Canis lupus familiaris: one gene and its partner. The protein of the gene in region 1 purifies or fractionates together with the protein of each later gene. This does not show direct contact. Links are inferred from orthologs where the notes say so. Each region holds a gene or a part of one and is shown in the gene's direction. Other genes may lie near its edges. The genes, in order: CDK15 and FKBP5.

Region 1 (4,481 bases):
CCCTTATGTGTGGGGGCTTTTGGTGACAGGGGAGGTAGCAGTAACAATGGTCACACTTCAACACAGCATAGTAGGCTTCTTCAGCCATGAAGTTGAGGTAGGTCCAGCCAACCAGGAGTTGTGTATAAACTGGGTCTGATTCACAATACAAGATGAAATCCACTTGTGATGAGCACTGCATGTCATATGTAAGCGATAAATCACTAAATTCTACATCAGAAACCAATATAACACTACATGTTAACTAACTGGAATTTAAATAAAAATTTGGAGAAAAAAATGAAATCATCTGAATCTTCTGTCCTTACTTGGGAATATTTGATAAAAAAAAATTTGTTTTGGGCATAGAGCTAGAAAATATCTCAAGAAGTCACATAATATTTTTCCTTGACTTTCACCGGACAATAAATTATTTTATTTTGAAAATTCTGAAGGGTATTTCACAATTTCCCTGACTAGCCCATCTAGTATCTAAACATAGTGTTTTAAACCTTAAAAACATTAGGCTATTCTCTTTAAGCAACTTGTAACTTAGATGAATAACCTCCCAGCAAATAAAAATGCTAGCCATTTAAAAAATCTAAAACTTATGATAATTAGAGGGTGATAAAGTAAAACTGTCTCAGATCTGATCTGGGTTTTGTATGATACAATTCACAACTTCCTTTTAGGCAAAAGTCAGCATTTCTCATAAAATGTATTATATCAAATTATGATAAATTCTAATAGAATTAAATATTCCAGGAAATTAACTTATTTCACTTTCCATAGATTGTTGGTCAAAAGTTAAATAGTTTTTAACCAAATAATTTTTTTTGTATTAGTTAACTGGTCACTTCTTTTTTTTTTTACTAAATGTCTCTAACTTATTATTATTTTTTATTTTATTTATTCATGGGAGACACAGAGACACAGAGAGGCAGAGACATAGGCAGAGGGAGAAGCAGGCTCCTTGCAGGGAGCCGGACATGGGACTCAATCCCAGGGCTCCAGGATCACACCCAGAGCCAACTGCTGAGCCACACAGGCATCCCTAAATGTCTCTATTTTAAATGAATCTTTAAATTGGCCTGTTTTACATCTCTTCTCTTATGGCAATTTCGAAATAAAACTTCAATACCTACTCATCATTAAATTCCCTGAAAGGTTTTTTTTTTAAACTCTTGAGGTTCAGATATCAAATGTACATAAATATTGTTGTAGTAATAGACATGATTAAATTTTTCCCTTAATGATATTGATTGTACGTGTTTGTGTATGTGTGTATCCGACATTCTGTCTCACTCTGATTAGTACATTATAGTGGCAATAATATTAGGAATGTATGAGAGAAAAGGTTCTGCTCAAAGACTGCAAAGTAGCTCAAGCTAGTTCCTTGACATGTCATGCTATCCCTACGGTAAACATTAATTATATTGATGTGGCAGGAAGGAACGGGAGAGTGAGAGGAAGAGAGAAAGAAAAGATATTTCATGCAAACCCCTCTCTCACCATTGGGTAACATCATTACCTGTGTAGTAAAAACACAGGTGCTCACTACATCTTTTTTGAATCAAGGAACCAAGGACTATTGCTCTGGGACTGTTAGATACTGCACACTTGCTTGGAGACAAAGAGATGAAGATATCTTCCCGTTCTATGATTCTGTGGTTTCTTTGACTACTAAAAAGTTGGCTAGATTGCAAATGTAAAGTCTGAGAAGAAAAAATGCTTTCAGATGAAAGGCAGGGAGAAAATACTGAAGCGTCCACTCCAGCTCTAGGGAAGCCTAATGACTATCATTATCATTGACATGGTTAGGCAGTGTGAACTCATAAAAGCCCTGTCTGGCAAGGGCACTACCCTGTGCCTGGAATAAGAACTTTGTGCCAACATCGATCCCATCCAATATGAGCTGTCCTGCTTCCAGTTGTGCACATAAGAATGCAGGCGGCCACCTCTCCGATGTAGTTTCTTGCACGGATCAGGAAAAACTGCTGAAGTCATGAGGCTGCTCTGCTCAGAGCCCTCATGTGAGTCATATGAAAGCTCCAGCGGTGCTGACCTCTGGCAGAGAGGGAGTGGAGGAGGACAGGAGAGGCAGAGGGGAGAGGTTCCAGCGCGGGTTTTCTCCTTGAACCTAGAAGATTATGGGTCAGGAGCTGTGTACAAGGACTGCCCGGCCTGGCTGCAGCTGCCACCGCTGCGGGGAGGGAGGCGATGCGCACAGCGGCCGGGGGACGGTGCCGGAGCCTGGGCCGGCGGCGGAGGCTGCGATCCAGGTATTTGCATCGCAGGAGGAGCCTCTCCCTCTGCTGAGAAACTAAGGAGTTCAGACACTCCCTTTCTGAAGCAGGGTCAGATTTTTCTGCGGTAGGTCTAAACCCATAAAAGGAAAATCCTATTAAAGTCACAGAGAATTTATGGCTGTTGTTATCAAATTTGGGGATGTTCTTGTAAACCAAAAGGGAAAAATAATCAGATGCTTTGGGCCGCACAAAACTCCGCTGACTTAAAGTTGAGAAAGTAATTATTCTCTTGTAATCTCTCAAGTACTGTATTACAGAGCTGAGCCTCAGAAAGCAGGCTGCAGTATTGGTATGCTATGGATTCAAAATCTTGATGATTCCCCAAAAAAGATAAATTAAGAGGACATGAGAAGAAAAAAAAAAAGGCTGAGCTAACAGAAAAATTGGAAACCATCCATCAAAGAGATTTAAATTAACTGAAGTGTTTAAGACGTATTTTTAAGTGAAGAAAGAATGTAGAGTTTCTGCAGTTGATATCATTATGGTCTTTTTTAAGGATCTGGCTTTCAAGAAAGGACTTGCTTTTGGGGGGTGTAGGAGGCTTAGAAAAACATCTGAAGAGTGACAATCAGACAAATGAAGAAAAAAACAGTTTATGCTAGCCACTGAGTCTTGACTTTGCATAAATTTTATTCATGTACTTTCCTTTTTCTTTAGCTAACAGACCTAAAAGAAGCATCATGTTCCATGACTTCATTTCACCCCAAGGGACTTCAGGCTGTGCATGCCCGGAAGTGCAAGAGTAAAAGGCCACGGAGTAACAGTGATTCTTTTCAGGAAGAGGATCTGAGGCAGGGTTTTCAGTGGGTGAGTGAACAGCTGATGTGGATGAAGAAGAATTTAATATGTACTTGTCTGGGGATGTTGGCCCTTACTTCCAGGGCAGTTACTAAGAGGGCCTTCCCAGGTATACTCTGGCAATAATGTCTAATTTCTCTGGGGGATAAAAGTCACCTTAAAAAAGAAAAGTGTTCTTTCTCTCTCTCCCATCTCTCACCCCTCCCCAAACCCCTCAAGCAGAAGAAGAGCCTCCCTTTTGGGGCAGCCTCATCTTACCTGAACTTGGAGAAGCTGGGTGAAGGTTCTTATGCTACAGTTTACAAGGGGATTAGCAGGTACGTGACTCATAGCTGGGAAAAACTCTGCAGATGAGGATCCCACCCCCTTTGATTTAAAATTATAGAGCCAGGTGACACACGGCAGAAGTTCAGGACCTGTGCAAGATACTATGGTCAACACAAAGAGACGAGATGATTTAAATAGCCTTGCAAGAAAAATAAATTTCTCTTGCCCTAATTAAAATCAGCCCCCTGAGATGTTTATCAGCTTTTCCTCTCCTTTATTGAATTCAAAGTATAATTTTTCTACAACTGACCCAAAGAACAAGCACCACTCTTCACAAATGCAATCTCTAAAGGGTTTTTCATATTTCTCTCTAAAACACAATGGCCGAAGGTTGTAATGGCAACCCTGAGTTTGCTCCTTCATTCCTTTTTTTACCTTCTTGGAAGAAACCAAAGTTGGCTTCTACAATGTAGGATATATGCAAAAAATGATTAGTCCTGGGATGTGTACACTTGCAAAATATACAAGATGGCTGGAGGATAAAAATAATGCTAATCCAGAAGCCAGGTGCCCATTTTGGCTAACGAAATTTGCTAAACATATGTGAAAGATCCACAAACTTCATTGCTTTTTAGTCAAGGTGGGAAAGTCAGAGGTCTGATTTCTTTAATTTATGTTACTCCAGTGGAAAAAAATAATGTCTCAATAGTGTTTATTTCTTTTTTTAAGATTTTATTTATTTTATTCATGAGAGACACACAGAGAGAGGCAGAGACATAGGCAGAGGGAGAGGCAGGCTCCTCTCAGGGAGCCTGATAAGAGGATTGGTCCCAGGACCCTGGGATCACAACCTGTGCTGAAGGCAGACACTCAATCACTGAGCTACCCAGGTGTCCCTCAGCGGTGTTTAAATGTTTATTTAAAAAATGTAATATAAATATTGCAAGGCTATGTATTATTTATACTAGCAATCATGTTATTATTTATACATGTTGAAACTATAAAGTATCATTTTAAATATATTGTTAATTGAATTCCATAGACTATCTTAGGAATTAAGAATATGAAATATTTCCTTCGAGGAACTCACCTGAGTAATAAGATAAAAAATATGTTGGAAATACATGT
Region 2 (3,819 bases), on another chromosome or scaffold:
CTATTGAGGATCAGATCCGACTTATTTATTTTGGAGCTTGGCTTCTTGAATTGTTTCCCACAAACCCAAGGGGTGTGTGCCAATGCTTTCTTAGAAACGTGTTTCTGGCACAGAAAAGTTATATCCAAATAAACAAAAGACACCAGGCTTGAGAAATAAAGGTTCTGGTCAGTGGTGTGAGTATAACATACCCAAAATTGACCAGAAAACAGGTTGGAAATGTGGGAGGTAAGTGTTGAAATGTACTGAAACCACATTGTAAGATATTTTCATGTTATACAGGCTTACTGTTTGTCACAGATCTCACTTCTTCATTAGAAGCTGTAGGTGGTGATAATGTTATTCATCCTGTATTGAATTATATATATATTTGTCAAGATCTGACTTAAAAAATGAAGGGAGGAAATGCCTGAAACATCATAATTAGGTAAAAAAAAACACCTTTAGTTGTCCATAAGCCTGATTCATAGGATTTATTTTTACATTTAAAAAGGGAATTCCATGAATCTGGGCTGGAAAGGTGGTGGCCTTTAGAGTCCGACAAAATAGTTCTGGGCCAGCACCTTGGAGCTCTGGCTTTTTGCCCACAAGGCAGCCCTCCTAGTGTTTCCTGTCTGTCTTTGCACTGCAGTCCCACAGGATGCAGTCCTAGACATTATCATTACATGAAGGCTCTTTCCAGGTATTGAAAGTGCAGTGTTCTTTTTTTCCTACTTTTCCAATAACTGAGATACATAGATAAATATAAAAGAGTTTTATTTTGTAAAATGAAAGGAGAATTGGTTGCCCTTGTTTTTAAGTATGTTAAATTGGCTCTGTTTGGTTTTTTCTCAGCCAAATCCTTTTTTTCCTTTCTAGATTGAGCTCCTTGATTTCAAAGGAGAAGATTTATTTGAAGATGGAGGCATTATCCGAAGAATCAAACAGAAAGGAGAAGGATATTCAAACCCAAATGAAGGAGCAACAGTAGAAAGTAAGTATCGCTGTGACAGTGAACTGGTCCTTAAAAATTGGGTTCCATTTATAGGGAGAAAAGGGAGGTTTCTTTCTAAAAATCTATTTATAGCAATAAACAATTGAATATAGCCCGAGAATAGTTTTAAATTCAACATTTATTTAATACTGACTTTATTTGGTAAATATTTATCTAGCATGCCCATGCCAGGTACTGTGCGAGCTTCTGCAGACCCAGAAGGTGAGGAAAAGGTAATCTTATCCATCAAGTCCCAAGTCTATTATGGACTCCTTGGTGTGCCAGCAACTATATTAGCTGCCTTACATATTTATTCATTTATTTCTTAAAATAACCTTACGAGATAAAATTTATTATCTCCAGATGAGGAAAATGAGTTCAGGAAAGTTATATAAATTGCACAGAGTACAGAGTTCTAAACAGAGCAGTTAGATTATAATGCCATTCAGAGCTCTCAAACCCATCTCACTGGCTTTCCTCAAGGTCAAAAAGTTTATTTTAGTTAGATCATAATTGATAATAGTGTTCATTCTATTCTGTGTAGGAAATCTGGGTTCAGGTTGCTTTGCCATTTACTGGATGACTTAAAGCTATTCTGTGTTTTTATTTGCTGTGTTGGGAATAAGGAGATACTGTCGAGGACTGGGATACCCAGTCACTCTTTGTTCCTCCCAGAGCCTGTTCTGTATACCATTATGTACATCACTTGCCACTTTATGCTGTAATCAGTGTTTACCCATTTCCCCAGTATGCACCTTGAGGACCAGAATCTTTCTTCATCTTTTTGTTTCCAGCATCACCTACAGGGCCTTACATGCATTTGGTGTTCGGTAGATGCTTTCTGCGTGGATAGATGTTTGAAAGATGCCATTCATTTGCTTCATAAAGCTGAAATACTTTAAAAAGGAGAGTTGTGAGAAAACAGAAATATTTCCACTAAGAAAACAATCAAAGCACTAAACAAGGGTGGCAATATGAACTATTATAAAAGGCCTATTTAAAATAGAGTCCAGGGTGCCTGGGTGGCTCAGTCAGTTGAGCATCTGCTTTCAGCTCAGGTCATGATCCTGGGGTCCTGGGATTGAGCCCCATATCAGGCTCTCTGCTCAGTGGAGAGTCTCCTTCTCCCTCTCCTTCTACCCTTCCCCCTGTTCATGTTCACTCTCTCTCTCTCTTGCTCTCAAATAAAATCTTAAAAAAAAATAAAAATAAGTTAGAGTTCCTTTGGAACAGTAAGCTAGAATGGTTGATTTTCTTATCTTTACTGTAGTATTTATTATTTGAGACCCGTGTTTCATTTTGGGGAGTCTGGAAGATTAGTTCAAATGGAGTTATTCATTTAGGTGGAAACAATTATAAATAGTATTACTATATTATTGCAGTTGAAATGTTTAGGTAGCTATCATTCATGGTAAGTTTTAGAATAAACGAAGAGGAGCTCAGATGTTAGAGAAATACATAGACCAGTAGTCAGAGAGAGGATTCTGGCTTCAGCGGACTCTAACTAACCCTTGAGTCTCTGGGCTTTAGCTTCCTTTCTTTACAGTGATCCTGTAGGTCCTGCTAGCACTGAGCATTCCATGATAGAATTCTAAATGTTTATGAAAGTCACAAGGATGATAGAAAATTATCTTTAGCAAGTACGTGAAAAGATTATCTATACTACACATTTTAATTTTTTAATGAAAAATTTCAGGCATATACAAAAATGGAGATTTTTCCCTATGTTACAGTTACTCCTCAGATTCAACAGTTTATAATGTATATTTCTAAACTGGAGGATTTTGGTAACCAAATTAAAAGGAAAAACTTTTCCCAGTTATAAACAATGCCGCAAAGCTACCACTGCAGAGTTAACTTTGGGGCAGGCTAAATTAAATCAGATCTTGCTTTTAGTAGTATTTTCAGTGGGAATCTTTATTTTCAACTTTCTGTTTTAAAATAATTTTCAACTTACAAACTGTGAAACTAGTACAGAGAATTTTCTTATATGCTTCAAGCTTTTCCTAATGTTCACATCATCCCTCACCACAGTACATTTATCAAAATCAGGAAATTAACAAGGAGCAATACTATTAACTGTTCTACAGATCTTAGGTGAGTTTCATCAGTTCCCACACTGATGTCCTTTTTCTGGTCCATGGTCAGATTCAGGATCTACTGTGATATGTAGTCTCTCCAGTCTGAGACAGTTGGATCAGTCTTTCTGTGATTTTCATTATTTTAGCACTTTTGAAGACAACCGTCTGGTTATAAAATATACTTCAGTTTGGGTTTGTCTGATTAGATTGAAGTTACACATTTTTTGGAAAAATATCATATAAGCAATAGTGTGCCTTTCTCAGTTCAATCATTATCAGGAGACATGTGATAGTGATGATGTAACTTGGGTCCCTTGGTTAAGGTGGGATCTGCCAAGTTCTGCTTTGTAAAATTTCCTATTTTTGCCTTTCTAAGTATCTCATTGGGAGAGAACTACTAGGAGATGGATGATCCCAAGATCTTCTTTTACATTACACCTTAACAGTGATTTTAGCATCCATGAATGATTTTTTTTCCCCATGGATGACTTTTGTATGCAACGGTTATAACTGTAGTATTTGCCTAATGGTGATTTTTCTATTTCCATTGTTCCTTCTTCAATGTAATTGGAATTCTGCTATAAGGAGGGGTTTCTCCTCCCCTATTTATTCAGTTGTTTATAATAGTATGGACTCATGGGAGTTTATTTTATTCTGTAGGTTATTATTCATTGCTATCTTATTTATGTTGTTGCTCAAATTGTCCCAAGTTTGGTCATTAGAAAGTGCTTTTCAACATACCTCCTGTGGTTTTTTTTAAAGCAC

Evidence for each region.
Region 2: the proteins of CDK15 (region 1) and FKBP5 purify together in Homo sapiens (affinity purification with mass spectrometry; 3 studies listed by BioGRID and IntAct, counting the BioPlex papers as one, with this or other methods). This does not show direct contact. The link is inferred for Canis lupus familiaris from reciprocal best matches to the Homo sapiens genes CDK15 and FKBP5.

Annotation. Positions count from the first base shown.
Region 1 is NC_049258.1:10,705,205-10,709,685, forward strand, and holds the start of CDK15 (cyclin-dependent kinase 15), read left to right. Parts: upstream 1-1,597; 5' UTR 1,598-2,129; coding exon 2,130-2,261; exon of another isoform or gene 2,262-2,352; intron 2,353-2,945; coding exon 2,946-3,095; intron 3,096-3,305; coding exon 3,306-3,403; intron 3,404-4,481. UniProt on the Homo sapiens protein: Serine/threonine-protein kinase that acts like an antiapoptotic protein that counters TRAIL/TNFSF10-induced apoptosis by inducing phosphorylation of BIRC5 at 'Thr-34'.
Region 2 is NC_049233.1:4,937,699-4,941,517, reverse strand, and holds part of FKBP5 (peptidyl-prolyl cis-trans isomerase FKBP5), read left to right. Parts: intron 1-858; coding exon 859-973; intron 974-3,819. UniProt on the Homo sapiens protein: Immunophilin protein with PPIase and co-chaperone activities. Component of unligated steroid receptors heterocomplexes through interaction with heat-shock protein 90 (HSP90).